Diceros bicornis minor: one gene and its partners. Each later gene encodes a partner of the first gene's protein in a complex. Links are inferred from orthologs where the notes say so. Each region holds a gene or a part of one and is shown in the gene's direction. Other genes may lie near its edges.

Evidence for each region.
Region 2: PPFIA1 (region 1) and ERC1 share a complex: the UniProt entries of both Homo sapiens proteins name them as parts of the cortical microtubule stabilization complex. The link is inferred for Diceros bicornis minor from reciprocal best matches to the Homo sapiens genes PPFIA1 and ERC1.
Region 3: PPFIA1 (region 1) and PPFIBP1 share a complex: the UniProt entries of both Homo sapiens proteins name them as parts of the cortical microtubule stabilization complex. The link is inferred for Diceros bicornis minor from reciprocal best matches to the Homo sapiens genes PPFIA1 and PPFIBP1.

Annotation. Positions count from the first base shown.
Region 1 is NC_080770.1:3,998,486-4,009,098, reverse strand, and holds the start of PPFIA1 (liprin-alpha-1), read left to right. Parts: upstream 1-6,679; 5' UTR 6,680-6,764; intron 6,765-7,091; exon of another isoform or gene 7,092-7,501; intron 7,502-7,972; coding exon 7,973-8,236; intron 8,237-10,613. UniProt on the Homo sapiens protein: May regulate the disassembly of focal adhesions. May localize receptor-like tyrosine phosphatases type 2A at specific sites on the plasma membrane, possibly regulating their interaction with the extracellular environment and their association with substrates.
Region 2 is NC_080756.1:59,586,967-59,597,130, forward strand, and holds the start of ERC1 (ELKS/Rab6-interacting/CAST family member 1), read left to right. Parts: upstream 1-5,788; 5' UTR 5,789-5,811; intron 5,812-5,833; exon of another isoform or gene 5,834-5,969; intron 5,970-10,164. UniProt on the Homo sapiens protein: Regulatory subunit of the IKK complex. Probably recruits IkappaBalpha/NFKBIA to the complex. May be involved in the organization of the cytomatrix at the nerve terminals active zone (CAZ) which regulates neurotransmitter release.
Region 3 is NC_080756.1:35,553,122-35,563,310, reverse strand, and holds the start of PPFIBP1 (liprin-beta-1), read left to right. Parts: upstream 1-5,813; 5' UTR 5,814-6,028; intron 6,029-10,189. UniProt on the Homo sapiens protein: May regulate the disassembly of focal adhesions. Did not bind receptor-like tyrosine phosphatases type 2A.

The DNA of each region.
Region 1 (10,613 bases):
AATTTTTAAGAGTATGTCCAAAGCATCTTCCAGTTGGGGAGTAGGAGTCCAGGTTGTTGTTTTTTGTTGTGCTAAATAGATATAACACAAAAATTACCATCTTAACCATTCTTAAGTGTGTAGTTCAGTGGCGTTAAGTACATTCATAATGTTGTGCAACCATCACTGCCATCCATCTCCGGAACTATTTCATCTTGCAAAACCGAAACTCTCTGCCCATTAAACACAGCCACCCACGCCCCTCCCCCAGCCCCTGGCACCCACCATCCTCCTTTCTGTCTCTGTGAATCTGATTCCTCTAGGGACCTCCTATGTGTGGAGTTTGTCCTTTTGTGGCTGGCTTATTTCACTTAGCATAATGTCCTCGAGGTTCATCCACAAGGTTAGTTATTTAAGAATGAAATTATTTCATCTGCCCCACACACAAAAAACGTAGCCTATGGTGAATATTCAAACACTGGCAAATGCCAGCAAGTATTATTGAGTGGGATTCAAATAACGTGCCATTTCAATCCCTTCTCAAGGTTACTAGCACTACACTGAATCACTGAAGTTGCCAATTTAAGGACTTTGATTATTCCTTAGAACACCACTCAGAGGATTTGTATGAAGTATACTGTGTGTATAAACTCACTAAGATTTATTTTATTTGCAAGAATGACTCACCACTGGCGGGGCAGGGTCAAGAGAAGGCACTTACAACATGTCACAGCCGCAGGCAGACTGGCTGGTTCCACGGTGGCCGGTTCCATCCCACACGCTTCCGTCCCAGTTCCTGAAATGTCAACCCTATCCTTCAGCTCCATGTGACACTGATTCCTGTCCCTGCTTTTGGCTTGATCCGTGGACTCCTTCCAATCCATAACCTCCTCATGTTCATGGTTAAATTTAATTCTCCAAAGAGAATTATAATACTTTTCTCTTTTTCTCAGTTTCTTGACTGATTTCTCTCGAAATTTGGGATTGGGAAAAAAAATCTTCCCTGAGAAATGGTGGGAAGGAATTCCTGCCTGGAAACACGCTGGGCAGTTTCTCCTCTTGTGGCCTTAAGTTGGCTGTCGCGGCTCCCAGCCACACGTCCTCAAGGGCAGGGAGCAAATAGGAAGAGAACAGTGGAGGCCACGGGGCTTTCTCCCCACACTGCTCTGTCTTTCATCAGGGAGACCCCGCACACTGTCTCTTATGTGCAGTGATGAGAACAGGGGTCCAGGCCCTCTCTTAGCCTATCAGGGGCAGAGGGGAATGAGATGCTAGCCGACTCAGACCAATCCCGAGCCTCTCCAGGGGGGATGGGCGTGGCCCAGATGGAAAGGACTTCCATTGGTGTTAATAGTGATTTCTTATACGGCCCTTTCCACTCACATAACCCTCACAGCCATCCTGTGAAGCGGCACTATCACCCTCGATTTAGGAACGAGGAAACTGAGGCCCAGAGAAGGCAAGCAACTTGCCTAAGAGTACATAGCTACGGCAAAGAGAAGCAAAGCCAGGATTTGAACCAGGCCACCCGGATCCAGAGTCTACATTTATAACTACTGTGCCAAAGCACCTTTTAAAGAGGGAAATGGTGACCGGGCAGGGAGCCAGCCAGGGGTGCCAGGGTGGTCACCCCTCATTTCCAGCCATGAGTCCCACACCGTCCCAGCATGGTAGTTAGTGTGGGTGTTATGATCTCCATCTGACAGATGAGAAGACTGAGGCTTAGTCTGGGTTACTATCTTGCCCAAGGTCATCGTAATGGTGTGGCTGGGGCTCCGGGCTAGCCCTTGGAGCATTTGAACCACCTGTGCGGGCCCCGCTCCCCACCACAGCTGGGCGTTTTTATTAGATGGCTCCCTCTGATGAACACAGTGATGTCAAGAGAAGCAAGTCCCAAGGAGCTTATGACTTGCTTTTAATATACAATTATACAGACGAAGGGGACAGAAGTCTTCACGCCCTTGCAGGAGGCCATGAAATGCTCTCAGAGCTGGTGACGCTGGGACGATGCGGTGCCTTTCAGACAAGGTGGCCGAAAGGCACCATAGACCCTTGGTGGGCATTAGGTGTCAGTGCCGTGGTGGCCCAGCATTGAGTGAAGGGGTTTTGTCCCCACCTTTGGGGGCCTGGGGACACCTTTGATGTAGCATCAGGAACACCAGCTTTGGAGCCAGCTTCTACCAAATTGTAAACTGTGGGATATTGGAGAGGTTATCCAACTTCTCTGAGCCTCAGCGTTCTCATCCATAAAAGGATGAAGGCTACACTTGTGAGGATTGAGTGAGGTTATATGGGTAAGGTTATGTGTAAAATGCTCTGCAAATGTGATTTTCTTTTTTTTTTTTTTTTTTTTTTTTTTGGTGAGGAAGACCAGCCCTGAGCTAACATCCATGCTAATCCTCCTCTTTTTGCTGAGGAAGACCGGTTCTGAGCTAACATCTATTGCCAATCCTCCTCTTTTTTCTCCCCAAAGCCCCAGTAGATAGTTGTATGTTGTAGTTGCACATCTTTCTAGTTGCTGTATGTGGGACTCGGCCTCAGCATGGCCGGAGAAGCGGTGCGTCACAGAGCGCGCACACTTAACCGCTAAGCCACGGGGCCGGCCCCAAATGTGATTTTCTTATCATCACTTCACCCAGAGGTGTCCGTGCTCTCGGGAACTGAGATGCACCAGCCAAACTCCCGACAGGCTCATCGTTGGACCAAAACTTTAGATAATTTGTTGACCGTGAGAAATTGAACTGTCATGGAAACCGGAACACTCTGGCTGATGATCTCACCTGTTCAGCAGCCACTCAGACCTCAGTTTCCTCATCTGCAAAATGCGAAGGATACCGGAACAGCCACGTGGGGAAGTATTTTAAGAATTAAATGAGACAAATAAGTAAAATTTCTTTCCCTTTCTCCTCGTTTTCCCTCCTCCATCTTAGCAGGGACACAAAGGTAACTCAAGTACAGACTCTATGGCTAAAGTCACCAAGATAATGAAGCCAGGGCCCCATCTCTTCCGCAGGGGATCGGACTACTGGGGCAGCACTGGAGACCCACTGATAACATGCTTATTCTTAGTTGTCCCTTAAAGAGACCACTCCTCAGTCGCAATAGTGTGGCAACTAGATCTGGAATCAGTAGCCCCTGGTTCACTCAAGGCTCCAGTCCCAGCTCTGCCCCAAATGAGCTGGGCGCCAGGAGGCGAAGCATTTTCGCATCTCTGGGCTTCAGTTTCCTCCTCTTAAAGGGAGGGCCACATCTTCCACCACCCACCCCCAGCTCAGAACTTCCCCTGACTGTATTGTCACACCACCATTCATTAGGCGGCTTTACATATTCTAGATTTGGGACACACTCAGATCTCTAGGACAGGATGGGCTACACTCTGTTCTCGCAGGAACCCTCTTCCTGGGCTGCTTACATTTCTAGAAAGGAGAGGCGGCCCGGTCATGCTCAAGGTTGACAACTAACCACTTCACCCAGAGAGCCCAGGCTGGCGGCACATTTGGGAAAAACACACCCCTGGAGAGAGTAATGAACTCTCCACTCCGCCCCCTTCCGTTTTACCTTATTTTCTTTATCAAAACCTTAACAGAAGAATCGGAGTGAAAACATTTTCTATGTTCATGGTTTTCCTGACTGTGGCTTACAAGGATGCTAGACAATCTCTGAAATGTGTTTCAGATAAATACTTCTGGGAAAAATTTAGGTTGGATGGTATAGATAACTGCATCGAAAAGTCATTTTAGCTTCCTGAAAGCAATTCTCCATGGTTCGTTCTTGCCTAGGTTTTGTTAGAGTAACATTTGTGGGGTTTTTCTCCCCCTAATGATAAAAATAATGCACATTCAAGACAAAATATCCGCCAAGTACAAACTATCACAAAGAAGGAAACGAAAACTACCCACAGTCCCCCTCAAAGACAACCACTGCCAACATTCTGATGTATCGCTTTCCAGGAATATATATGTATATGTATATAGAAAGAAATGTAAAAACCTAATTGAATACAGTAACAATATTTTCACACAGACATACGTTTTTCTTTGACAAACCTGAGACTTAAAATTTAATTTCACTTTTCGAAAATATTTCACGTAAAATTCATTTTATTACAATTTTATCACTTTAATAACATTCTAGAAGTTTTCAGATACAAGATAATAAATTTTACCCAATAGATTCTTCATCTAAACACAGACTGTTTTTTTTTTTTTGAATTTGGGCTCACACTGTACATACTTGTTTATAACTTGATTTTTTTTTAAGTTTTTTTCCCATTTTTAAAAATTGGGGATACCTTACATGTTAGTGTACAGTTCTGTGATTTTGACAAACACATATGGTCTTGTAACTACCACTACAATCGGGATAGAGCATCTTGTGTGTCATTAGATAAAATATGACTGTGTCACCGAGCTTTCTGTCATTTGGAAGTGCAACAATGTAACCAATCTCTTTTTGTTGGCCATTTAGGTTGTTTACAGTTTTCCTCTTGCTGATTTTTGCAATCTGAGGGAACGAAATGAAGGAATGAAAATGAATGAAATCTGAGATTCTCATATTCCTGGAGTTACACCAAATGAGCTTCTCCCTTCTATGCTTGGAAAATCGCTCATCTTCGAGACCCAGCTCAGATGTCATCCTCTCTGTGAAGCCCCCAGGATGACAGCTGGAGAGTTGGTTCCTCCTTCCTCTGTGGTCCCACAGCACCAAGTCACACCTGTTTATAAGACAGACATTGTAACACTGTTTCTCTTCTTCCTTCCAGGCTGTGAACTGAGGGGAAGTGATGTCTTAGAAAGCTCTGTGTTCCCCAAACCTAGACCATGCCTGGCTCACAGTGCTCTAAAAATGTTCACGAAATGAATGAACCTTCTACCCTGTTGAACTAAATTTTGGTATTGTGCCGATTTCTTAGAAGACAGCGTGGTGTAAATATGGGCTGGATGAATTAAGCTGGTACATTTAAGGAGAGCTGGAAATTTTCTTCTGTTCCAGACCCTGGCTCAGGTGTGCAAATTTATATTTATTTGTAGTCAATCAACAAATACTTATTGAATGAACAAATACATGAATGAAAGGAAGGTGTGGTCCTGGACCCTGGGAAGGAAGAAAGCCAATCAGAGGTTGCACTTGTTCTTGGTGAGCTGACAATGGGGAATGAAGGAATTGCCTGGGAAGGATTCACCCACCCCTCCATGCAGGCTTTACTTAGACTTGGCGAGTTCACGGGCACCTGGCTGCCTCACCACCGACAGCCAGACGGTGGCCATGGCGCCTGACAACGATGCCCTCACGTTTTCGGTGTATGAGGAGTTTGTGCTCCAGAAGTCAAATCCTGAGCAGAGAGCATCTTCTTTAATTTATTAAAAATGGATTTTTTGTGTGTGTGTGTGAGGAAGATCAGCCCTGAGCTAACATCCATGCTAATCGTCCTCTTTTTGCTGAGGAAGACCGGCTCTGAGCTAACATCTATTGCCAGTCCTCCTCCTTTTATTTCCCCAAAGCCCCAGTAGATAGTTGTACGTCATAGTTGCACATCCTTCCAGTTGCTGTATGTGCGACGTGGCCCCAGCATGGCCCGAGAAGCGGTGCGCCAGTGCGCGCCCTGGATCCGAATCCGGGCCACCAGCAGCGGAGCGCACGCACACAACCGCCAAGCCACGGGTCGGCCCAAAAGTGGATTTCGTAATCTCTGTATCTACAAGATCTAGCACAGGAATTGGCAGACAGCAGGTAGCAGGTGCTTTAAAAAGTCTGAGTAAGGATAAACTATGAATAAGAAGGATAACAACGTTTGAGAAGGATAAAAATGACCACCATTCGCAGAGCGCCCCAACCAGGTTCTCAACGAGTCTCTCTTTATAAGTTCTATTCCTATAACAGCCCTGGGGTAGATCTGTCTCCTCTTCCCATCCTACAGACGGGGCACTTGATCCCACACGGGTTCCCCTGGGTTGCCCAGGCCCACGCTGCAGGGATAAATATCTGCTGGGAGTTGAACCAGGTGTGCTGGCCCCAAAGCCTGCATTCTCGACCCAGCGCCCAGGAGCTTCGACATCAAACGCCCATCTCTGCCTCCCCGAGTACAGCAGGTGAAGTTCGGTCAATGGGCCTTGCGTAGAAGCCGCGTCCTTCCGAGTCCTGTGAGGGTCGGTTCCGAGGAGAGGCGACGCCGCGGGCTCCCCCCGGCTGCGAGCAGGTGAGCTGCACCTGGGCGCGCTCTCCAGGAAGGCGTGTGGACGTGACATTTGGGAAGTGTCTGGATGCACGCTCGATAACGGCCTTCGGAGTCCCCGTGGCTGTAGGAAGAGACCTGGGGGCAGCCCCCGAGGTGGAAGATGCTGCGGGGCGTGAGGACCAGAGGCCGGAGCCGCGGCTCAGCCGAGGAGCCCCCATGTGGGCGGGGCCTTGGGGCGGGGCTCCGACCGCGCCCAGCCAATCGCAGCCCGCCCCACCTTAGGAGGCGGCGCTTGCGCACTCGGCCGCCGCGGCGCTCTCCCGGGGCGGGGGGCGGGGCGGGCCGGCGGCGCTCGGTGCTGACGCTGCGCCGACGCGCCCGACGTCGGGCACGTTGACGCCGGCGCCGCGCAGCCGGGCCCGCTCCTCCTGCGCTCCGCCAGTGTCCGGCCGCGGGCCGGCCTTAGTGACCGGGGGCCGCGGGCGCGGGCGCGGGGCGGGCGGCGGGCGCCGGCGCGGGCCGCCTTCGTCGGGCCCCGAGCTCGCCCGGAGCGCGCAGCCGCCCGCGAGCCGCGGCGGAGCCTCCTCGCCCGCTCCCGCCGGCGAGCAAGGTAAGGGAGCGGGAGACTGAGGCCGGCGCGGGCGGAGCGGGGCCCGGCCCGTCCCTCGGCGGCCGCGCGGCGATTCCTGTCAGCCCCGGGGGGCCGGGGCGCTCCGGGCGCGGGGGCGGGGGCGAGGCCCGCGGCGCCCCCGGCGGGACCCCCGGCGGACGCGCCCCCAGCCACGGGCTCTCGGGGCCTCGCGCCGCCCTCTGCCCTGACCCCAGCGCTAGGTGACCCCAGCTCTCGGTGACCCAGCCCTGGGCGCAGGGGGCGAGGACCTGTGGCCGCAAGAAGCCCCGGTGTCCGTGGCTCTGCAGCACCTGCTTCGGATGCGAGTGGGGTCGAGGTCGTTGTCACTGTCCGGTGTGCGGTCTGGGGCATCCTCTCTCGGGGGTCGCCGAGCCCCGAGCCCCGCCGGCAGCTTCTGGACCGGCCCCGCTTCCCCTCGCTCCGTCGTTATGTTTGAGTCACTTAATAGCCTCTCGTAATCTCACCTTTCACTTTTCCTACCTTCCCAGCCGTCCACGGCTGTTATTGACCTGCGGTATTTCCATTGTGGAATTTTTTTTTTTTTTTCTGGGGGCTGTTACCTTACGTAAGTCAGGTTGACTGGCCAACCCTTGCAGCCGTTGAGAAACACCTCTCCCAGCCCTTGACGAATCCAGTTCCTTTTAGCGCTCACCAAATCCAGCCCAAGAATTCCGGGAGCCGTCAGTCCTTCCCAGGAGCTGACTGCACACATTCCTGTAAGATGCCCGACAGATTCTGTACTTGTCAGTTTGACTGGCTGTGTGCTCTTTCTGTGCTTTTCCTGAAAAACGATTGGGTAGCGTCTGTTTTGACTTCCTCTCCCCCACCAGGAAATAGAAAAACAAGAATAGGTTACAGAAGCACACTTCTTTTCAACAACTAGAAAGTACACCCGTGCAAACAAAATGCCACAGGGTTTGTTCTTTAACTGAGGCATAGTCGTCTTTGGTCTTGACCCCATGACTGGATTGTTGTCTGTGTTGGTGTCTTGATCTCAAGTGTTCCGACTCAGGGTTTGCATGCGTCTCTGTTCCCAGCGCACTTATATACAGAGCTTAACAGTCAGATCTGAAAAGAGTGAGGCTGACAGCCGTTCATGGATTAGCTGCAGATAGCTATAAAGTTGCAGATTTGTGGGAGACTTTACTTTGCACTTAATGACTGTAGTTTGGGTCTTTTATTTCAAGATGATGTGCGAGGTGATGCCAACCATCAGTGAAGCAGAAGGCCCCCCAGGAGGAAGTGGGAGCCATGGGTCCAGCTCCCCTTCGCAGCCAGACGCAGACTCACATTTTGAACAGTTGATGGTGTCCATGCTAGAAGAGAGGGACCGTCTTCTTGACACACTGAGAGAGACTCAAGAGACGCTGGCATTAACCCAGGGGAAATTACACGAGGTTGGCCATGAAAGAGACTCCTTGCAGAGACAGCTCAATACTGCACTTCCACAGGTATGGATGCTTTTCACCTGGAACTTGACAGATGTTTTTCCACTAAATGTTGTTGTATGATGTCCTCTTCTATGGTATTACTATCTTAGATGAGTATTTTGCGTAACCATTTGTGAAATGGTGGTTCTGATATTTGTAAGCCACGTATAGATAAAGTTCCGGAGGATTAAACGTCTTAGGGAGAACAGACTCTGTGGTGCTCTAAAGTCATGTGAAAATACCTCATAACTCTTGTTCCTTCCTTCGGGGCAGCAGAAGGAACTGCCTAGATTCAAGAGAGGGCTCCAAAGTTTTTGAAATAGGGCCATGGGGCAACCAAGCTCTGTGGTGCCTTCCGATCTATTGGCTTAAGCCACTTCTTGTGAAATGTGTATTTCCCACGGGTTTATCCTGTATTTCCAATTACATAATGAAATTTAATGGACAAATAGGATTGATTTCACAGAGAAAATATTTTTGCAGTCTGCCTTTATTAGAACACCTGTGTTTTCTAAATGAGATTTGTTTCAGGGGCTGGAAGGCTGGAGATTGACTCCTTTGGAACTGTCTCCGTGGCAGGTGTGAGTTACGAAGCTTAAAGTCACACTGAGGTTGCTAGTCTGGGTATGTTGCATTTGGACCAGTGTGTCAAAGCCTTTTCTTCTGGAGCTGAGTGAGGGTTTAATGGTGGGTGAAGGGAGAAAGTGTCACCTAGAGAAGTGGAAGGTACCGGCACAGGGCATGTGGGAGATACGTGGGTTTTGGGGTGCCTCTGAGCTGTCTGGGGGCCTTTATGGTGCTTTCGGGTGGCCTGAATGAGCGTCTGCTTGTACTCTCCTGATGGGTCTGCGGTGGTGAATTAGGAAATGAATAATTACCAGCCTTAATGCGTTTCTTGGCTTTAGTCAGTTCTCCTGAAAGATTGATAAGCCAAACATTTGGATTTCCTTTTTGGCAACAATAATTTGATATTAGTGCTATAATGTTCCTTTTTTGTTGAGATAGAGAATCATTACGTTTTTTCTCGTTCAAATCTTATAAATTACCAAGTTTGTTTAGGTCAGATTTTATTACCACAAGCTTAAAAGGATTGGCCAAATTATGTTTTACCAGGATTTTAATGTATTCGTAAATCTTTTCAGTAGTTTTGTTTGTTTTTGTAACTGTGTTTGTTTTACTGTAATTTGAGGTACATACACTGAAGTGTATATCAATTCTTCCATATTTGATAAGGTAGTTTTTTGAGGGAATGAGCTCAAGGGACAGAGCAGGGAAGGGCCAGTTTGGTGTGTACGGTCTCAAGCAGTGGAGGCTGTCCCACCAGCGGGAGGAGACAGTTGCTCAGTGATTTGTTTCTAGCGACTGCTCAGGGTTGTAGCTGGAGATGCCTCGTTGAGTGGAGAATGTGATGATGTCGGCAGTTCACCTGAGCACCACGTCCAGCGTTTCAGCAACACAGGAACCAGTAAGTAAGCGCTTTGTGGGACCCTTCCCTTTCCTGGCATTTGTCTCAGGTTTGGTGGCTGATATTGTGACCAGATAGGCATATGGTGAACTGACTGCATTTGTTCTCCTGGCCCATTATGTAGACCAGTCATACTGTGCTTATACAAAACTTAGCTATAACACATCAGAAAATTTCACAGTCATGAGTGTACATTTCATTGAGTCGCTAAGTGAACACACTCGTAACCACTGCCTAGATTATGACATGAAATGTTACCAAGCTTCCCAGAAGCCCCCTCCTCCCTACTCCCAAGAATTGTCCCCCAAAGCTAACCGTGGTCTTGACTTTTCCCTATAGATTACTTTCCCCTGTTCTTGGCCATATAAATGAAATAAAGTGATGTGTATGTTTTGTTTCTTGGTTCTTTCATTCAGCAGTATCTTTGTGGGATCCATTCGTTTTGTCTCATGTAGCTTTCTTCATTCTCATCTCATCATCCTGGCTATGAATATACCATCATTTATTCTTTCTACTGCTCATGGGTATCCGGGTTGCTTCTAGTTTTTACAAGTGCTGCCCTGAGTATTCTTGCTTCTTTTTTTGGTGCAGTTAGTACATTTCTCTTGGGGGTGTCCGCAGGAGTGGCATTGCAGAGTGACAGAGTGTGCATTTGTTCAGCCTGAGTGGACGCTGCCCACAGTGGCGGTGGTGACAGTTTGTACTAGCACCAACAGTGAGGGAGCCCTCCGTTGTCCTCCAGCGCTTGGTCTCGTCAGTCCTTTCATTTGGCTGTCTGGTGGCCACTGAGTGGAAGGCAGCTTGGTGTGGTGTGGACTTGCTGCTTCCTGATGACCAGGAACGTGCAGAGGCGGAGCTTCCCTGTGCGTGTTTATTGGCCGTTTAGAGATCTTCTTTGTGAGATGATTGTCTTGCCCGTTTTTCGATTGGGTT
Region 2 (10,164 bases), on another chromosome or scaffold:
GGCAGCCAAGTGAGGAGATGAGAAAACAACTCTCAAATCTGCCTCCCCAAAAATGAGGACTAGGCATATTTATGGGAAAAGGGGCAGGGTGGTCTGAAATGTGGGAATGGATGATTGGAGATAAGGAGAAGCACAGTCAAGCTTCCTGGCTCTTCATAGGATGCATGTTCACAAAATGGTGGCATTAACAGGATCTGGGGGTGGAGTTTTTGCCTCCCTGATGTCAGGAGTTCACCTATCAGACACCTGCACAGGCGCAGTTGGTGGGTTGGTGATCTTGACTGGCCCAAACAGGACAAGGGTCAACTCTTAGTTCCTGAAAAACAACTCAGGCATCTGTTACCATGGTGACCAAGTGTCAGGGAGATGTTATCTATGAGGAACCTAGTGGGAGTTGGATAATATATTGCCTGTCTACTTGTCTTTTAAAAATAAGCAGCACAGCTAACAATGAACAGGTGAATAAATAAAGACTACAATTAATAATTGCCAAAAAAACTTTAGTTACTAGCTATCTAATCATTAATAACTGTCCACCAGTTTCAATAATACAAATAACAGTTTTTCCATTTTGATGAAGTCCAGTTTTTCTATTGTTTTCTTTTGTCACTTGTGCTTTCTTACATGAAACCATTGCCTAATCCAAGGTCACAAAGATTTACACCTATGTTTTCTCTGAGTACTATAGTTTTAGCATTTACATTTAGGCCTATGATCCATTTTGAATTAATTTTTGTATATGTGAATTAGGGGTCCAATTTCATTCTTTTTTTTTTTTTTTTTTTTTGTGAGGGAGATCAGCCCTGAGCTAACATCTGCCAATTCTCCTCTATTTTTATTATTTTTTTTTGCTGAAGAAGACTGGCCCTGGGCTAACATCCATGCCCATCTTCCTCCACTTTATATGGGACGCTGCCACAGCATGGCTTGCCAAGCGGTGTGTCAGTGCGTGCCCGGGATCCAAACTGGCAAACCCCCGGCCGCTGCAATGAAGCGTGAGCACTTAACCACTTGCACCACCGGGCCGGCCCCCCAATTTCATTCTTTTGCATGTGGATATACAATTGTCCCAGCAGCTTTATTGAAAAAACTATTTCCCATTGAATCAATTGCCCATAAATGTATGGGTTATTTCTGAACTCTCAATTCTTTTCCACTGAGATATATGTCTATCATTATTCCAGTACCACACTATGTTGATTCCTGTAGTTTTGTAGTCAGTTTTAAAATTGGGAAGAATGAGTGTTTCAACTTTGTTCTTTTTCAAGATTGTCTTGGCTATTCTGAGTCCCTTGCATTTTCTTTTTTTTTTTTTTTTTAATTTTATTTATTTATTTTTACCCCAAAGCCCCAGTAGATAGTTGTATGTCATAGCTGCACATCCTTCTAGTTGCTGTATGTGGGACACGGCCTCAGCATGGCCGGAGAAGCGGTGCGTTGGCGCGCGCCCGGGATCCGAACCCGGGCCGCCAATAGCAGAGCGCGCGCACTTAACCACTAAGCCAAGGGGCCAGCCCCTCCCTTGCATTTTCATGTGAATTTTAGGATCAGCTTGTCAATTTCCACACACAAAAAAAGGCAGCTGAGATTTTGATAGGATTGCATAGAGTCTATAGAACAAACAGGGGAGTACTGCCATTTTAATATTGTCTTTGCTACTATTTCTTGATGAACTACCTAGATAGATGATGATTTAGCTTCATTATAAACCCTGTACTTCGCTCATGTCTTCCTATCCTCTCAGTATAGCCTAATAATTCCTTGCTTCTCCATGGTTAGTTTTCCTACTTCTAACAATACATTTTAACAACCATTTCTGGTTCTGCCAACTATACACACAATCTCTTGAATGCTTCTACCTTTACCTCTACCTTTCCTCCCTACATTCCACATCTAAAACTGTCAGCTATACTTTTACCTTTATATTGTCAACATTGATATAATTTATAAACTATGCTTTAACTACAGCAAGATTATCTATAATTTATTAATAGGTCAAGTCTAAAAGTTGAACGCCAGAAAACAGCATTTTCTAAGCTTTCTATCATAGTAATTAATTATTCAGTTGAATTCTCTCTTTTTCAGATTTCTCTCCCAGAACTCCTATCCTTCCATTCCAATCTGGCCTTGCTCTTGGGACTTTTCCTCACTGTTTTCCTGAATTAGATCTAATGATTCCTGGATATGATGTTGTCAGATACCTGTTTTCTACCTCATTTTCCTCAAGCACATCTTCAAGTAACTCTTTCAAAAAAGGGTACATAGGAGTTTAACTTAATGAGTCCCTGCATATCTGAAAATATTTTCATTCTGCTCTTTCACTTAATGATAATTCAGCTAGGTATAGAGGGTTTTTTTGAAAATTAAAAATTTTTTCTTAGAATTTGAAGTTCAAAAAACATTTCTCAGAAACTTGAAGGTCTTTGCCTGTTATCTTCTCATATCTAGTGTTGCTGTTAAGAATTCTAATGCTAGCCTGATTCTTGTTCTTTTATAGGTCACTTTTTTTTTTCTCTTTGGAAATTTAGGACCTTCTCTTTATCTTTAGAGTTATAACATTTCACAAAGTTGTTTTTTCTTTGTTTTTGCTCTGCACTAGTGGATGCTTTCAGCTCTGGAAAATTTTCTTCCATTACTTTTAGGGTAATTTTCCATTATTTATTTACTTTATTTTCTCTTTCTTTTGTAATATTAGTCCTGTTGGATTAACTCTCTATTTCTTCTATATTTTCTCTTGCAATCTCCATCTCTTTGCATATTTCTTCTATTTTCTTTAAAATTTCATTGACTTTATGTTTCAACACTTCAAGTGAATTTATAATTTTAGCAATTTCTTATTTCTAATTTCAAGACCTACTTTTTATTTTTGGATTGCTAATTTATCTGAACATACTGTTCTTATTTCATAGATGTAATATAAGTCTGTAAGCATACTAATTAGTTCTTTTTTTCTTTTTCAGTGAGGACAATTAGCCCTGAGCTAACATCTACTGTCAATACTCCTCTTTTTGTTGAGGAAGATTGGCCCTGGGCTAACATCCGTGCCCATCTCCCTGTGGGATGCCTGCCATAGCATGGCTTGATAAGCAGTGCATGGGTCAGCAACCGGGATCTGAACCTGCAAACCCCGGCCCACCAAAGTGGAGCCCCCGAACCTAACCACTACACCACCCAGCTGGCCCTCAATTATTTCTTTTTAAGTTCTCTGAAGTTTCCCTTGTTTCCTCTGTGGTCACATTTTCTTTTTATCCTCCCCCTCCCCAACAAATTGGAGACTTCCCTTAAATATCTAATAATCCTTGGTGTCTGTTCATATTTAAGATGAGGTAGTTGGAATACTGATTAGGAATCTTGTGAACTTGGGAGGGTCTTTTGAACTTGCACAACTTCACTCTAGGGTAAGTGGATAGGAAACTGGCTATTGTGCCAGAATGAAGAATGCTTTACTCTGAGTCATTAAACGCGCAAATAGCTGCCCAAGTCCTCCCCAGAGATTATAGAACTCTTGACTTTTAGCTTGGGATAACTGCCTAGCTATTGTAGCTGAGATATACAGAGGGTTCTGCTGTTCTGTATAGAAACCTTTATTTAGTCTCCGTGTTTTCAGCCCTGCTTCTCACGCTTGCTCTCTCTTGTCTGTGTCTCCAAATTTCAGTCTCCCTAAATCATCTCTGGCAGAGAGGCCCCCTTCCTTGGCTGCAGCACCTCCTACACCTATTCCACACTATGGTTCCTTCCATTTTGTTTAGTCAGACTGCACTCACTTTCTGTGAGTAAAATTTAAAAATAAATTATCTTTTGGTGGCCCCCTTCCCATTTTCTATTTTGTATGAGTGTGCATCATTTTTTTTAATTATCATTTTATTTGGGGGTCTCAGGAAGAAAAGGCAATGAATGTATGTGCTCAGTTAGCCAGCTTTAATTAAAAAAATCCTAAATGTAGGTTAAAAAAAAAGATATCTGAGGCAGAGTAGGAAATAAGAAAAAACAACCAGTGGAATGGCAAAAAAAAGAAAAATTCTGAGTCTGTGATATTGACAGTATTCCTGTGTATATATAACTTAGTGCATAGCATCTCAAACTCTCCAGATCTACACATTTTAGGGCTATGATGGATCTCAGACATCTAGTTCACACCTCATTTTACAGTTAAGAAAAGTAGGACCGAGAAGCAAAGTGATTTCCCCAAGGCCGCATAAGTAGAGAGTGGCAGAATGAAAACTAGAAGGATATGACTTCCACTTTATTATTTTTTTTACCTCACCACTCTGCTGGGGAGTAACAGGACCGGCACATCAGCGGCCAGATGAGAAAGATCCTGAAAAACAGTCAAAGAGGGATGGCTTTTCCTGGGCCAATAGCTAGATGCCCAAGAAAATGAAATATTTCAGGTTGCTTATTTGGGAGCCATATAGTCAGTCTCCTTCTCTGGCAGCAGCCTAACAATTGGTAGCCATATGTTGAATGTGCTGAAGGGGGCGACTGTACAGCAGGACAGGGACCTGCAAGAATCCAAGTGTGTGGTGATCCTATGAGGGAACAACTAGAAAGCCTGGGCAGGATGAAACAGTAGAATTTGGTGAAGAATGAATGTGAATACTGAGGAGAAACGGGAAAATGTTAGTAGGATTATGAGGGAGCGTAAACTGGTTAACTGCGGTGGCGGAAAGTAGGGGTAAAATGATGACTCAATTCCTTTCAAGGGCATTTTAAATTATTTCAATGAACACTGGAGCGCTGGGAATAAATACAATTCACATCACTCTTCCTTTCTTGGTTTAGAGATAGCTTATCGACATCCTTAATGGATGCAGTTACCCTCTTTGCATGGTTCCGACAAAAGAAAACCCGACTGCGATTCAGCACAAGAGAACTGGCTTGCCTGAAACAAGGTACCAGTTGCCTGGTAGACTTGCCTAGCTGTGGTGAGGACTCAGTAAGACACTGTAGCACCGCATTTGGCACATCGCAGGTACTGAACCTGCACATTAATTTCCGCCCACGCTCTCCTCTCCTGCGACAATCACTACAGAAAAACGACGCACACTGGCGTGGTTCTTCCACGACGCCTGAATTCTTTCCTTAGGGCCGTGTGGACAGTCCCGAGTACCTCAGATCATATTACTAGCTTCCGCGGCCAAAGCTAAGGGTGGGGAAAAATCCAACTTCCCTGGACAAAGGGTGCCCACTGCGGCCGCGGGCGCGCAACCGGGAACGTACTGACAGCCTTAGAGCTAGCCCCGACGGCGCCGGCGGCCCCGGGGTTTGTCTAACGGCCCCGGGAGGGAGGGGGTGGGGCAGCTCTAAGGTCTGGGAAAGCGACGACTCCGCTCTTCGGGCCTGGCCCGTCCACTTCCTACGGCAAGCAGAAGGAGACAAGCGCCGCCTTGCCTCGCTCCCACCTACCGCCTCTTCCCGAGCCGGCTGCGGCTCTCCCCTCCCGCGGCCTCAGGGGCCGCGTGTGTGTGTGTGTGTGGGGGTGTGCGTGCGTCTGCCCCGTGCCCGTTACTCTGCTTCGGCGCGCGGCCACCGCCGGGACCCTGCGTCACCTCGCCGCCCTCCCCTAGGAGGCGCCGGATGCCAGCGGGCCGCCGAGCCGTACTCCCAGGAGGCTGCCAGAGACAGAGGCGGCCCGGCCCGGAGGAGGCGGAGCTCGCGGCGCCTCGCGGCCGGGCCTGGGGGCGGTGCTAGGTGTCTCGCGCAGGGGGCGGGGCGCGGTGACGTCTGCGGGCGCCGGGGCCGTACTGTGGCTGTGGTGGTGGGGGCGGCGGCGGCGGCGCCCGGGCGGTAGCAGCAGCCGCGCTGAGGAGGGTGAGACGGCTGCGGTGGCGGCAGCTCGGAAGTCGGGTGGGCCCTAGAGCTTCCCGCCTTCGCAGGCGCTGAGGCTTTTGCCTTTTCTTCGCCTGCCTCTCCCTCACGGCCCTGGGTAGGGCAGGGCAGCGCGCCCCCGGGCAGGGGCGGAGCTGTAGGTGAGGCTTCGGGACCCCCTCCCCCTCCGCTCCCTGCCGGGGGGATGGGGAAGTCCGGGAGGGGCGGGCCCCACCCCAGCCCACCGGGGGGCTCCACCCGGCCGGGCTCCGGGTTTGGACGGGAGCTGAGGCGATAGATGTGGGGAACCCGGGGCGGGAGGTGGGAGACGGGGGCTCTGGGCGCTCGGAGAACCGAGCGGGGAAGGTTTATGAGGCGTGATGTTGCGGGCGAGGTAGTGGCGAGATGGAGGAATTGGGGAGCCATGAGGAGGTTGGGGTGCGGTCAGGGTAGATCTGGGTTTAGGTGATTGATGTAAAATGTTGAAAGAGGTGAGAATTCTTTTTTTTTTTTCCCTCTGTGTAAATGGTAAGATAGGAGGTGAAGGGTTGTATTTCAAAAAGGTGAGCTGTGGATGTTGCCTTTGAGGCATTTGGAGAAGCGATTGCACTCGGTCTGACATTTCTACTTTAGGGTTTTGGTTATTTTTCTTTTTATCATCCTGGCGGGGGGTGGGTGGGTGAGTCCCGGGGGGAGGAGAATCTCTCTGCTTTTGGCTCGGAGTGGGTAAATTATGAGCGTGGATGGATTTGAAGTTTTAGACCCTTCAAGAAGAGTGATATCTTGGGTTGACAACTTCATTCTGGCAGCAACATAAAGGAATAGGTCCCATTACACTTAGTTCCTTAAAGGTGTTATCTTCCAGTCTTTTTTCTGTACCTGAAAGGTCTCTTTATACCATCTCTTTTACTAGCTTTATTCTGGTCCCTTACGAGAAGGCCTGAGAATCAAGTGGTTGCTTTGGAAGACACATTTCTGAGTAATAGTTGCAGGTGGTTGTGGTTGACTGCTTTGGATAGATAAATGAACAATTTGAACAGTTCTGTCGAAGCCAATTATATGAAAAATGCTTAAATGTTTTAAAGCACTGCTGTCTTTTACAGCTTGTTTTTCAATAGACCTGATGTTAGACATTTTAAGTCTTCAGCACTTAATTATTTGAGATTATTTTTATTTCTCAATTGCAGATGTCTTTATTAGACACTTTGAAAATGAAGTGGAATAATTTTTTTTTTCTGGTAGACCTCTCAATTTCTGAGAAGTGTTCTTGGAGTCAAGGGCTTTTAAAATGCTCTTTAATAACATTTTTGGGGGCATGTGTCTGTCACTTCATAGGGAGATGTTACTACAGTAAACAGCGTTCAGTGTTCTTCACATCAGTGTTTCACAACTTAGCACATCAAATCAGAATCTTCTTTTCTGGACTCCTGCTCCCTATTAGGTTATACTATCTAATAATCACTGACCTTACCTATCAGTGTCATTTGAGCTATTTCTTGCTCAGAAAACAGGTCATGTAATGAACATGTATTATGTAATGGATGGAAGTAGGCATGACTCTCAATAATTCATTTATGGAGGAAGAGAAACCGTCATGAAATGGAATTTAAGCAGTGACTTTCCCAAGGCTTACTCAATTTATTTGGGAACATAGCCAGAGAAGTGCTTTCCTGTCACCCAAGAGAGAAATATACAGATGTGAGTGTCAGTAGTTGCAGATCATTGCCTTTTTTAACATGCCTACTTAATGAGCAGACTATTATCTTCTAGCAAATACTTCTGCTTGAAGAGACTTATAGGAAGCAGATGATATAATAGCTATTAAGTGAGAAAGGGTGTGGTCCAATTTGTAATTATAAATAAAAGATTTAATTAACTGTATTCAGACAGATCAAATTATAAGTTGGTACAATGAATAGTTTTGATTTGGGATTACTTTGATGGAAAAATTAAAGTTCATATGTCTAGTTTTGACTTTTAAATTTTACTGTGATTTAATTGGGTACACGAGACAAATTCGAACTAAGATACTGGGTGAAACTTGGTGCGTATATTGCTAAAATGACATTTGCATGGCTGACTGTGGGATGTTATTCTTCTTGTAGGAATGAAATATATGATTTGAGGGAAAGTGTAAGGTAGAAGTGATCTATTTCTCTTTAGAATTTTTTATACCTAAAAAACCCGCTACTTTTTATCTTTCAAGAAATGTCACTTTTTAGTCGTTACTCTGATATCCTTGTTGAGTCTACTCAGGTGTTCCTTTTTTTAAATTACTAAATTAAGATAAATATGTCAGTCTGTTAATTCAACATTAATACTGAAAACAATTGAAGCTTTTAGCAACAACTGCTCCTCCTCTACGATATGTTTATGCTTTTAGAACTAGTATAAGAGCTGTTAAATGTGTGTTTTACACATAGTGTATCAAAAATATTGATGGAGAAAGACCAGGAATGAAGTATTTTGGTTAATCAAATAATAACCAGTACATTGATTATCAATTTTAAGAGAAATATAATGTAATAAAGTAAACTTAGCATAAAGGTTATGTGGAATATGATTTTTTTTCTATGGCTCTTCAACATCTGAGCCTTAGGGCATTGATTCATTCATTTATTCATTCAACAGTAATTTATTATGGTTCCAAGTACTTTTTTAGACATTGGGGATACAGTAGTGAACAAAGTTGACAAAAATCCCCACCTTCATGGAACTTACCTTCTAGATACCTCTGGGGAAGTAAAGAGGAACCCAGCAAAGGAGAATGATAAGAGGTCATTGAGTTAGCAGGAAAACCAGGGGCGTGTGATGTACGAGAAGTGAAGGAAAGGAAGTTTCAAGGAGGAGGGAATGATCAACTGTGTCATTGTTTAAAGATGTGTCAGAGTGTTGGGTAAGAGAGAATTCTGCTTGATTATAATGTCTAGTAACAGAGAAATGACTAAATGCTTTTCAGTGGGAGATGAGACAAATGTAAGAATCTTTCAGTTTTTTACTTCCCTGGAGTGATTTTTTAAAATATATTTCATTCTTTATTCTTTTCAGAACAAAATAGGCAGCCTGGGAATGTTTACTAGTATTAAGGAGAGATATGACTTGGTTGTTATTAATGTTATGTATACTTATTTTTTTAAAATCAGAAGATGTAAAAGAGTACACAGGGAAAAGTAAGTCTCTCCTGTCCCATCCAGTTATTCTTGAAGGCAGTCATTGTTTTCAATTTCTTGTTTTTCTTAACCAGTGAAATTTTTGCAATAATATGGTATTTAGCTATTTTAAAATGCCTAAATATAACAAGTATTTTATCTTCTAGGTATTTTTTTTGCATCTTTAATATTTGTTTTCATAATTTAATTCTAGCTACCTGTAGGTGTTTTGTTTTTGTTTTATAACAGCTTTATTGAGAGATAATTCACATACCATAAAATTCACCCATTTAAAGTGTACAATTCAGTTTTTTTGGTGCAACCATCGCCACAATCAATTTTAGAAAATTTTCATTGCCCCAAAAAGAGCCCCAAACCCATTAGCAGTTACTCCCCTGACCTTTGGTTTTTAAGTTTTGTTTTGCATATTGTGTGGGAAAAATGTTTGTGAAATACTTTTGTTACCAACTAAATGGCAATGAAGCCATTTAATGTGTACTATTAATATTCTCTCATTGAATTGAAGCATAAGTTTTTGTAAAAGTCAAATTAGATAATGTTTTATTTGGTTGAGTGAATAGTTGTGAAATGATTTAATTATCTAACCATCTTCTTTTTATTTTTCCTTCATTTATTAAGTAATTTTGAGTACCTTTTGTGTTCCAAGTTTTGGGCTAGGCCAGATGGAGTCCATGATAAATAAGGGACAGGGTCTCTTATTCTTAAGGAGTTTCATTCTAGTGGGAGAAGAGGAAAAGTTAACAGGAGTTTGTGGTCTGCGGTGATAAGTGCTTTAATAGGTAACATACAGCATTCTGCATCAGCTCATAGGATAGATCCCTAAACTGGATTGTGGGTAGATCTAAGATGAGATCTTAAGGATAAGCAGGATTTGGCCAAATGAAAAGGATGCAAGCAGAGGAAACAGCATGTGCAGAACCCAAAGGCAAGAAAGCTGTAGGGCAAATTGAGTGATCTGAAAATAGTTTGGTCTGGCTGGAATGTTGAGTGCTAGCATGAGGTGTTGGTCTCACTCCTCCTTTTTGTTAAAAAGTGTGCCTTAAAAAGGCAAAATAATTACATTATTAATGTGCTTACACTCTCTACAGATTGCTGTCACTTCCTAGCAGTATAACTTTGAGTAAGTTACTTTATTGTCTAAAACTCAGTTTATTCTCATTTTAAGGATGAGGAAGTTATAGTCCCA
Region 3 (10,189 bases), on another chromosome or scaffold:
CTTAGTCCCCTTAGAAGTTTCTAGGTTGAAGTCTAACATGCCATTTTAAAATGTAAATTCTAGGTAAGTAGAAGAATTCTAGTTAAGGATTAGGAGAGACTGAATAAAGCAACAATAAATTAATGATTGTCCAGGTGAAAAGGTGGTTGCAGCAGAAATTAGTGGATCAATCTGAGGCCTGGGAATCCTATGTGGTACTGGTCCAGAGAATGGGGTGCATCACAATGTCAAACGGGTAAATTTTGATTAGTAGTGAGCCATGATATCTTATTTGAAAAATGAGCCTTACTCAGTATTGTGGCAGGTGAAAATCAAGGTAGAAGTCACTGGTTATGAGTAATGCTCTGCTGTTGATTGAACATGTTCCCAGGACCTCTAAAGAGGTCTGTGCACAATGCATGTTGGTAGGGAGGAATGGCAGCGACTTATCACCCCTGGAAAGGCCCAAAAGCCTGGGGAAGGCCGCAGCCTGCTTAGGAAGAATGCCATGCAGATCATTTGCAAAGGAATGGAATAGGATTTGCTGCTATGTATTGGAAGGGCTGACTCTTCATCTATCTTGTTGGCCTCTCAGAGTACAGGAATCAGACATACTCTTTAGGAAATTCAATTAATTCTGTTTGTAAATGGGGTTAATTGTTTAAGGGAATTTAATTTGTTTAATGTAGCCATTAATTAAACATTAATCAAAGACCATGGAAAGCAATAGTCTCTATTTTTAATTAAAAATGTTTTTCAGTTTATAAATAGAATAATAAAATGGGTAAATTGAATGTAACTAGATTTTTTAATTTATCTGGCAGGTAACCAGAGAATAACCCACACAATCTGGGTTGCAAGGCAAGAGTGATTAAAATAAGACTCTGCTTGGAGCAAGATATTGGGCCTATTTCTAACCCGTGTCCATTGGCAGGAAGGGGATGGGGAGGAGGGTTGGATTCATAAATGATGTCAGTGGTGATAGCTGAGTAGTGGCTTAGTATCCAGCGAAAGGATATTAAAATGATGTCTGGGTTATCACCAATGCCATGCTTAGAATCAGACAGAATAAGCAGCAATTTCCTTTAGAAGGAACTCTGAAGCTAAGTTTGGTTCATTTGAATTTGGGTTCATGATTTATACCATGTGTTCAACACACTCTGTGTTTTGCAACATGTCTGCGATAAGAAAAATCTGAGGCATCCAGATTCTTTAAAATCACTCTGGTCGAGTTGTTCCTGAACTTCTAAAGGCCTAGCCCACAGCAGGTTAGAAGTTTTAAGCAAAAGAAAGCATTCATTCATTCACTCAGTGAATTTTTACTGAATGTCTAGGACAAAGCATTGTTCTAGATTCCATAAAGGATGTAAAGATGAAACAAATTAGCATCCTGCTTTCAAGGACTGTAAGGAACTTACTGTCAGTAAGGGACATAAGCCATATATAAAAATAATAGTACAGTTGTTTTATGTCATAAGAAAAAGGAAAATATGTTTATTGATGACTTATTATGTGTCAGGCAACATGCTCTGTCATCTTGCATATGACATCTCATCTGATCCTTGCAACAACACTGTGAGGTGAATTTTAGTAATGGGCAAAAATCATCCTTAACCACGGAAACACTCTTAGAGAATATGGGTGCAAAGTCATTCAGTTTGTGCACTGAGGAGTATGAAGCAGAGTGGACAGTACGTTCAGAAAGGTAAGTTGGCGGCTGGATGTAAAGGCCTTTGGATGCCAGTCAAGAGAGTTTGGGTTTTGTTCCTTGGTGAAGGGGAGATGTTCAAGTGTTTCAAAAGGAGTCAAGAGTGATCAGGACTGGGCTGTAGAGAGCTGTAGCTGGAAGCCTATAAAGACCAGACAGGCAAATGACACACTTTGATGAGTCAGGTGGGCCTCTCCCGGCATCTGCATCTAAACAGAGTAAGTAGGGGATGCGTCCTTGTGCCTGCACAGGCTTGAGGATGGGGTAACAAAAAGAGTCAACCTGCTTCCTGTTATTTAGAGGGTAGAACTGAAAAAGGATAGACCGTGGACAATCAAAGCTTTAGATATATAAAGAACAAATGGCTTGGAGTCAAAGAGACCTTGGTTTCAATCCCAGTTCTGGGTGTTCTGGAGCAGTTTACTTATGTAACCTTGCTGAGCCTTTGATTCCTATGTTAAAATGGGGCTAATAAAGCTCACCTTAGAGGATGGTTGTGAGAATTAAGTGAGACACAAGACAGAGGTCTTGGGGCAAGAGTCAGAAAAGCAGGACCCGGCTCCCTAGGAGAAAGATCTTTAGTGGTGGGCTGCTCTCCTAGCTCGTGTGCTCCTTGTTGCCAGATAAATTCAAACAGGGGCTGGAAGGCTCCTTGTCAGGAGGGCCGTAGGAGGGGTTCTTGCATCCAACAGGTGCTTGTGTCACATGACCTTTAGGGTCCATTTCAAGTTCTACTTTTGTTGTTCTCTGCAGGTTTTCTCCTGCTTTCACAGGTTCTCCTCCTCTCCCCCACCCCGCAGTGATAGTATCTGGCAAAATTCATAGGCAGAAAATAGCTATCTAGACCTACAGAGCTAATAAGTGTTGAAACCACAGGAGGTGTAAACTTTTCCATTAAGCCAGCTAGAATCCAGGGTAGTGGGTAAACTCTGGGTATCTGCTCAGCAGGTATCCTATTTCGCTTCTGCTGCATTGTCCTGATCCTTTGGGGCTTCCCCAAGATACCAAGGCCAGTGGTTTCAATATATTTATCTGAGTGTTAGACTCTCTTTTTAAAATGAAGCATTATAGTGGAGCCTAAATGTAGAACAGAGAGGAGCTGTAACACTAAGGTGGAGGGAAAGCTGGGGTGGAGAGGAGACTGAAGTCTCCCTCACTGGTTCCTTCCTCACCCACTCTGGAACCCCTGGTTTGAACCCTACTGACCCAGCCCTGGACTGTTTTCAGCTTTCCTTTTGAGTCTTTTGTTTTCTGGACTCTGATGGCAGCTGTTATCACTCCAGCTGCAGAGGGGATGGGAGGCAACTTCCTGTTATTCTATCCTGCCATCTCTGTGGCGGTGGGACATTCCCTCCCCCATCTGCTGCTGGTTGTAGGCTGTGAGCCTGGATGCAGCCACCCTGTGACTGGGGCTGGAAGAATGATGGTAGCCACCCAGCCACGGCTGAAGGCACTTAGGGAGCAAGGCAGGCAACAGGTACAACAGACAAGTGTGTCCCTGACTGAGGGAGAGGGAATGATGAGTGGCTAAGAGGCAGGTTAAGTGGCTGGTGCAGAAAATATCTGAGGAGGTTAAGGGTTGTTGCATGAATGGTGGGAGAGTGGGAAAAGGGAAGGACTGTGGCCAAAGCATAAAAAGAGAGGGAGAGAGAAAAAAAGAGATAATTATGGTTTCTGGCTATAAGATTATTTGCAGGTAGGGTACCTTTAAGGAATGGAGGGGGTTAGAGGTGACATGATGATAAATTTTCTGTAGTCCTGTATTTTTATTGAGTTTTTTCCTTGAATTGGGTATAAAGGATACAAAGAGGTATTAAGTATGGAGCTTGCTCTTCAGGGTTTGGGAAGATAGGAAATGTATACAACTGGACATATACAATCATATGTTTACACATCTATACAGTCTCAATTAACCTTTGATGTGAGTATTATCAGCCCCTTTTTACAGAAGAGGTAATTGAGGTTTCTGATGGTTGTTTTAGTGACTTGGCCAAAGTTACACAGCAAGTAAGTGGCAGAACCCAGCTATGGACCTCAAGCCCTTTTTCTGTCCACTGTAGCACACAGTGAGGACAAGAACTTTAATTAGGCTTTGAGAGAAAGGTGTGACAGCACATAGAAGAATGGGGATTCCACGTAGGCCAGAAGGTGAGAATCAAGTGGGGATCTGTGAGTAGACCAGTTTGACTGCAGCAGAGGATTTCCCAGGAGTGAAATAGAAGATAAGGTGGGAAAGGTAAATAGAGGCCAGATTAGGAGAGTTTTAAATGGCTAAGAATTATAGGGAAAAGGGGGCCCAATGTGGAGGGGAAGATATTGATGGCAAAACCAAATAGTTTTTAAAAACTCACTTGGTAGTGGTGCATAGAAGGACCAAGAGCTGGGGAAAAATGGCATCAGAAATATGTTAGGAGCTTGGAATTGTGTAGGTCTGAAAAACAGCACCATGGTACTAATATAGAGTGGGTCTGTGGATTTTTTTTGCATGACAGTGTTTGAATGGGTGTAGATTGTGAGCAATCACCACTTTAGAGTAAAGAGAAAAAAATGGCTTTGGAGTCACATGGGCCTCAGTTTCAACCCCAGTTCTGGGTGTTCTGAAGCAATTTACTGCCATAATCTTGCTGAGCCTTTGATTCCTTATGTTAAATGGGGCTAATGATACTCGCTCTACAGGATGGTTGTGAGGATTAAATGAGACACGATGTTGGACTCCATGCATCCTTTTACAGTTTTTAGCAGAATGGTGAAATGCATGACATGTTGTCATGTATCAAAAAACAGACAATAAAGGGGACGGCCGGTGGTGTAGTGGTTGGGTTCGCCCGCTCTGCTTTGGCGGCGTGTGGTTCACGGGTTCAGACGCCAGCATGGACCTAGGCACAACTAATCAAGCCATGCTATGGCAGTGTCCCGTATGCCACATAGCGGAAGATGGGCAGTTGAAGATGGGCACAGATGTTAGCTCAGAGCCAATCTTCCTCAGCAAAAAGAGGAAGATTGGTAAAGGATGTTAGCTCACGGCCAATCTTCCTCACCAAAAACAAAAAAAACAAAAAAACCCAGACGATAAAAACCAACAGAAAGTCAATAATTAATTCATTGTCCTTCCAGAAGATGATGGATAATGCGTTACTTATATCTCATGTCAATAGAGCCACTTTTCACCTTTCAGTTCTGCATTGAATCGGATATTGGGCATATTGAAAGGACCATCTCCTGAGAAGCATTCTGTTCTGCTAGCCAAGGGGACTATACAGCATGATATCCGTCAAGCTTAAATGTTAGTTAATTCTTAATTGATAGCTCAGCCTCTGCAACCGCTTCTATTCAACAGTAATTATTCTCATGTGCCTCGTTGAACCCAATTGTGAGATCCTCCCCCCCCCCCGCCGCCGCCCCTTCAGTTGTGCGTGAAAACAGCAGCCTTAAGGTCCTGAGTAAGGTAAATAGTAATTTTTCTTACTTTGGAGGTTCAATTTTATTTGCCTGAAAGCTCGGGTGGAGTGATTTTCATCGCTAAACGCAAAAGCAGCCACATGGTTGATAACGCCACCAGTTAACAATTCATTGCTGAGTCGCCGTTTCTGAGATTCCTTTCCAAATCTTCCCAAGTGCTTTTGAAGTTGTAAATTCCTCGTCTAAGGGAACACTCAGCAGTCTCCAGATAAAAGGGTAGAAGAGCGAGCTGGCGTTTTCCTTTATTTGCATGACTTCAAGCTAGCCATTTTCCGCTCCACGCGCCGGCAGACCGTACTTGTCCGTGACACAGAGGCAACTGTTTTTCCTTAAAAAGGGGGCACGGGTGGGTTAGTTTCGTTTCTGATCTGGGATATAGTAAATACGCCAAGAAAAGTTAACAGGACCCGCAAGGTTCTTCCCCCATCCCATTATCTCCTTTTCCTTAGAGATAGCAGGAAAGGCAGCATTTTTTTTTCCATCAGCACCCACTTCCAGCCCTAGTCTGGCTCAGCGAGGAATGTATAAAATGAGTTGACTCCTCTGAGTGACTGTCCCCGGGCCCAATCAGCGGGAGCCCGGGCGCGGCCGACCCCACCCCCTTGCGGACTCTCTTTGGCTAATTCCTGCAGGGAGGGAGGAGAGAAGGCGGCAGTGGGAGGGGGAGGTACCTGGAACTGGGAGTGATGTCAGCTCCCAGCTCGGAGCCTGCCCGGATTCCTGACATGGTGTAGGGCCGAGAGGGTGGGGAAGGCGGGGGCCGGACGGCAAAGGATTGGGGTTTGCGAGCCTGCTGCGGGGCTCCAGTGTTGGGGCTTTGAACTCCGACGGAAGGTGAACCAGAACTTCTGGAACTAGTGCCAGCGGCTCTCCACCCCCCAGGTAAGGGCGTTCGGCTCCACTCGGAGACCGGAGGGAAGTGGCACCGTTGTGTGGTTGCAGCTGGGTGTTGCAGCTGCTCCTCCTCTTCCCCGGGTCGATTTCCTTTTCCAACTCACTCCTGTTTCCCAGTGGGAAAGGGCACTTTTGGTGGTGCACGGGGTAGGGCTTACTCCTGGGGTCCCGACTAGTTTATATGTGAAAAATACCTCCAGGATTGGACATGTAAGGTCTTGTCTGTGTCCTTAGACCCCCGCACCCTAGTCTCTCTCCCAGTAATACTTGAGAACCCCAATCAGAGAAGTGTGTGTCTGTGTCTGTGTGCGGGTGTGTGTGTGTGTGGTTATTTAAAAATGTCACAAAAAGTTATGAAATGTCGACTCAAAAATTATGCTCTTTGAGACAACAAAAGTTTTGTGTTTTTTAGTTCCCCTGTGACCTATTACATACTGATTTAAATGAAAGAGTATTATGGTTATTCTTATACAGTCTTATATATCAACATCATAAATCCTTTTATATAGTCCAGTCAGGATGTGAGAAACTCACTTGGGGTGTATTAATTATGAGCTTGTGGGAGAACCCGTCTCTTGGGGGCACACTTCTAAAACTCCAACTCTTTTTCACTCTTATGTTTTAATTGAGTGCCAGATCACTTGAGTGATCTGGAGGGTTGGGGAAGGCTGCTGAGAATCTTCAGATCTGTTTTCTGTGGCCACTTGAGAAAAGGATCAGGGCTGGTAGTTGTGTTTTCAGGGATCATTTTTAGAGAAGAGAGTTTTAACAGGGAAATGTGGCCAGAAGGTGTGGCACACAAACTCTTAATTATAGGAACATGAATTTTTCAACATGTGGAGCCAAAACAAATCCTTCCTTTCAGTAAGAAAGTGCAAAGAGCAGTAGAAGGAGAACTTGATTTAGCGTTCCAGTTTGGCATTTAGGGAAAGCAGTTGCCTGTTGGGAGGAAGATTTTCAGAAGTGGAAGTATAGAATTCTGATTTTTTTATTTTCTGTTTCAAACCCTTTCTTTCTCCTGCTGGGAGATTTTCTGTGCCCAGGTCACTAACTGGGTGTGACTGACTTTCAGGGGCAAAAAGTTAACTCCATCAACTGATTCAGAACCCTCACTTTTCAGTGCTTAAGGCTCTGGAGAAGAAAAAAAATGTATGGGTGAGATTCCTGAGTCAAGTTCCTTTTTCTTTCACCTCTGTTCCTCAGCAGTGAGGATCCTTCTGTTACCAGATCAGGAGGAAACGGGCAGACGTGGACTCTATTGTGAGTCAAGGCTGCATCCCAGGTGCCTGAATGAAAGGGCATTTCCAGATGAGGAAAGAAAGAAGGCACAACATTGCATCTAAGAAACCCAAGTCGGGAAGTGTGAAGTTACAGGACTTTATAAATGGAATTCTCCATCTTTCTAGCCAGATGACAGGTTTCAGGGCTGGAAAGAAGTGTTTTGTTTTGCTGTTGTTTATAAAACACCCGGGTCTGTATTGTTCTTAGTTCCTAAAAGAATGAAATAGTACAGGGTGGATAAAAGCAGGCTCTTTGCAAAGGGAAGGTGTGCTCTACTGGAAAGGCCAGACCATTTTAATTTTGGTTTGTGTTTTGGGTTAGGAAACAGAAATTGCCTAATGGCTCTGAAATAATGGTGAACAAGTTTTTTCTATTTATATTCTATAGGAAGTACGTAAAACATACTGTATTTTCCAGGGTACTTTTTCAGTAGGATGGAGAAGGAGATGATGTGGAATTCCTGTGGGCTGATGTGGGCTCTCTGGAGCCTGTGGCTGATGAGGTGTTCAGACTGCAGTCCCTCATAGCCAGTCAAGTAAGGAGCATCTTTATGATGTTACCCTGATGTACCAAATTCAGATTTATGCTTTCTTTCCAAAAAACCAGCCCTGGCTTAGGGACTTGATTATGCCGAAGCTTTAAATTTTATTCACAGTTTGAGTAATAACAGTCATTTTACATGCTTAGATTTAACCAGTATTTCTCCATCTTGGTCCATGTTTATGAGGTAGATGTGGTGTAGTAAAACACGGTACTTTTAAAGGATAAAATTTGAAAGACCTATGTGTTGTTGAGAGAGGTAGAATCAGGTTTTGGTTAAATTCTCTTTGACCAGTAGCTCTCATAGTTCTAGTAGCTGCTTTAAAACAATAGGATAATCTGGCCTTTGTGGACAAATGTTGACTTGAGATCCAGGCACAATATAGTTCCAGATCAGTAGTGCCTAATTTCAAGGGCATCGTAAACATTTTTTGGAAACAAGTTCGGTGAGAGTTCATTAACTCTGTTCTGGTTATGGAGTCTTTGTCACTCTTTGTACCAACATGAGATAAATCAGAACAAGGTCATTTTTCCCCTCAGTTATTGACTAGCTGACTTGTTTTTAAGACCTGTCTTTCATATTCATGAAATATTTGTATTTTTGTACTTAATTTAGAGTATGTTGGTAATTTGTTACATTAAAATTACCTTTTTGAGTTTTTCGTCTCCCATTTTTAAAAGTACCTATATCCCAAATAGCACGTTTTTTAAACTGTTAATGGAAAGAAGACCTCATTCATCATTCTGTCTTTTCAAAGATATTATTACATGTTTCTGACCTGGTTTTGAATTACGTTTTCAAAACAATGAATGGATGAGGGAATGAGTGAATGTATATCCATTCACATTTGGGTCTGTGTATTGATTCTTTATTAAAGAAACACTGCTTCAAGGTGAAAACATAGGCAAGAGATATTGCACAATGGTGATTTCTTATTCCCAGAGTTTTCCCTAAAAAGTCGTATTAGTTCTGAAATTAAGGGGAGAAAAATCACAGTTGAGCAGCCAATTGTGAAATTTTTCAGGGAGCCGTGATTACGATTATGTTTTAACCATGGTTGAACAGATGAATTTAAGTATGAAATTCAAAGCTGTTAAGGTTAGCGACGCTGGGTGTTGTTTGGGGATAAGGGGAACAAAGTGTCTGTCTTCTGGCCGGCATTTCCTTTCAACTAAAGGTTAATAATTTCACAATTAAATCTGTTGTCAAACTGTCCCAAAATTGACACCATCCAAAAACTGCTCTGGGCTTGTGCAGTTCCTTGAGTCTGTATTATGTCATTTGTTTCTCAAAGTCATCGCAGTGCATGTCAGAACCCTTTTCCCAGTTAAAAAGCCTACAGCTTTTGTCACATGTATCACCACCACAAAGACTGATGCTTTATTAAATGGAGCTAGTGGCTTAAAAAAGCTAAATTGAACTAACCCACCCTACAAAATACAAAAACTCTTGTATTTCTTTTACACTCTTTATTTTAAATATAGTAATTATTCATGCCAGGTTGGCATTAGTTGATAATGTTTCAAAAAGCCAAGTAGTGAGGGTTTCTTTTACTTAAATATTTTTTTCCACTTTGAAGGATCTAAAACACCCAACAACTGGATTTTAGATTAAAAAATGGGCCCTTGCCAGAGTTTTAAGTTTGCACACTTCTTAGGCAGTTTTAGGGGTGGAGGTAGGTCTGAGTGAAACGTGTACCAGTCTGTACTCGTTAAAGAGCTTCTATTTCTGAAATGTGGGTTTGGACTCTTAGTGGCCCAGGTGGGTGTGTTGTCAGTTTGTGACTGAACTTTGGTTATGTGTCTCCCTAGAACTTGGTGTGACTCACATTTTGACTGGCCCACATGCACATCCTTGTTTTTGTTGGCAAACGTAGTGAATGCAGAATAGAAAGATCATTTGGTGGTTTCTGTACAGTGGTGCACCTAAAGATGTCCATGACTGAGGGAATTTTACAAACTCGAATTGCATTGAATATCCATCATTCTGGCAAAGGCTCATGTCTCAAATACGGATCGTGGAGGAAGAAGAGCAAGTATTATAATGTTTGGGGTTGGCTGTAGATTTTATGGACACCCTCTGAACTCCAGAGTAAGGCTAATATTTTCACCTCTCCTTTAATTTAGGGAAATCAAGCATTTGACATAAAAACAGATGCAAGTTCAAGGTGTCAGATGTGCTGATTCTTAGTGTGTGTGTGTTAACAAGGGCAAACTTAATTTTACCTGGTGAGAGAGAGAGTAAAGATGCCATTTTCAGTGGCAGGTCCCTCCCCATTCATAAATAAGTGGCCAAATTCTTTAGGCAAGCAAGGTAATTCTTGGGAA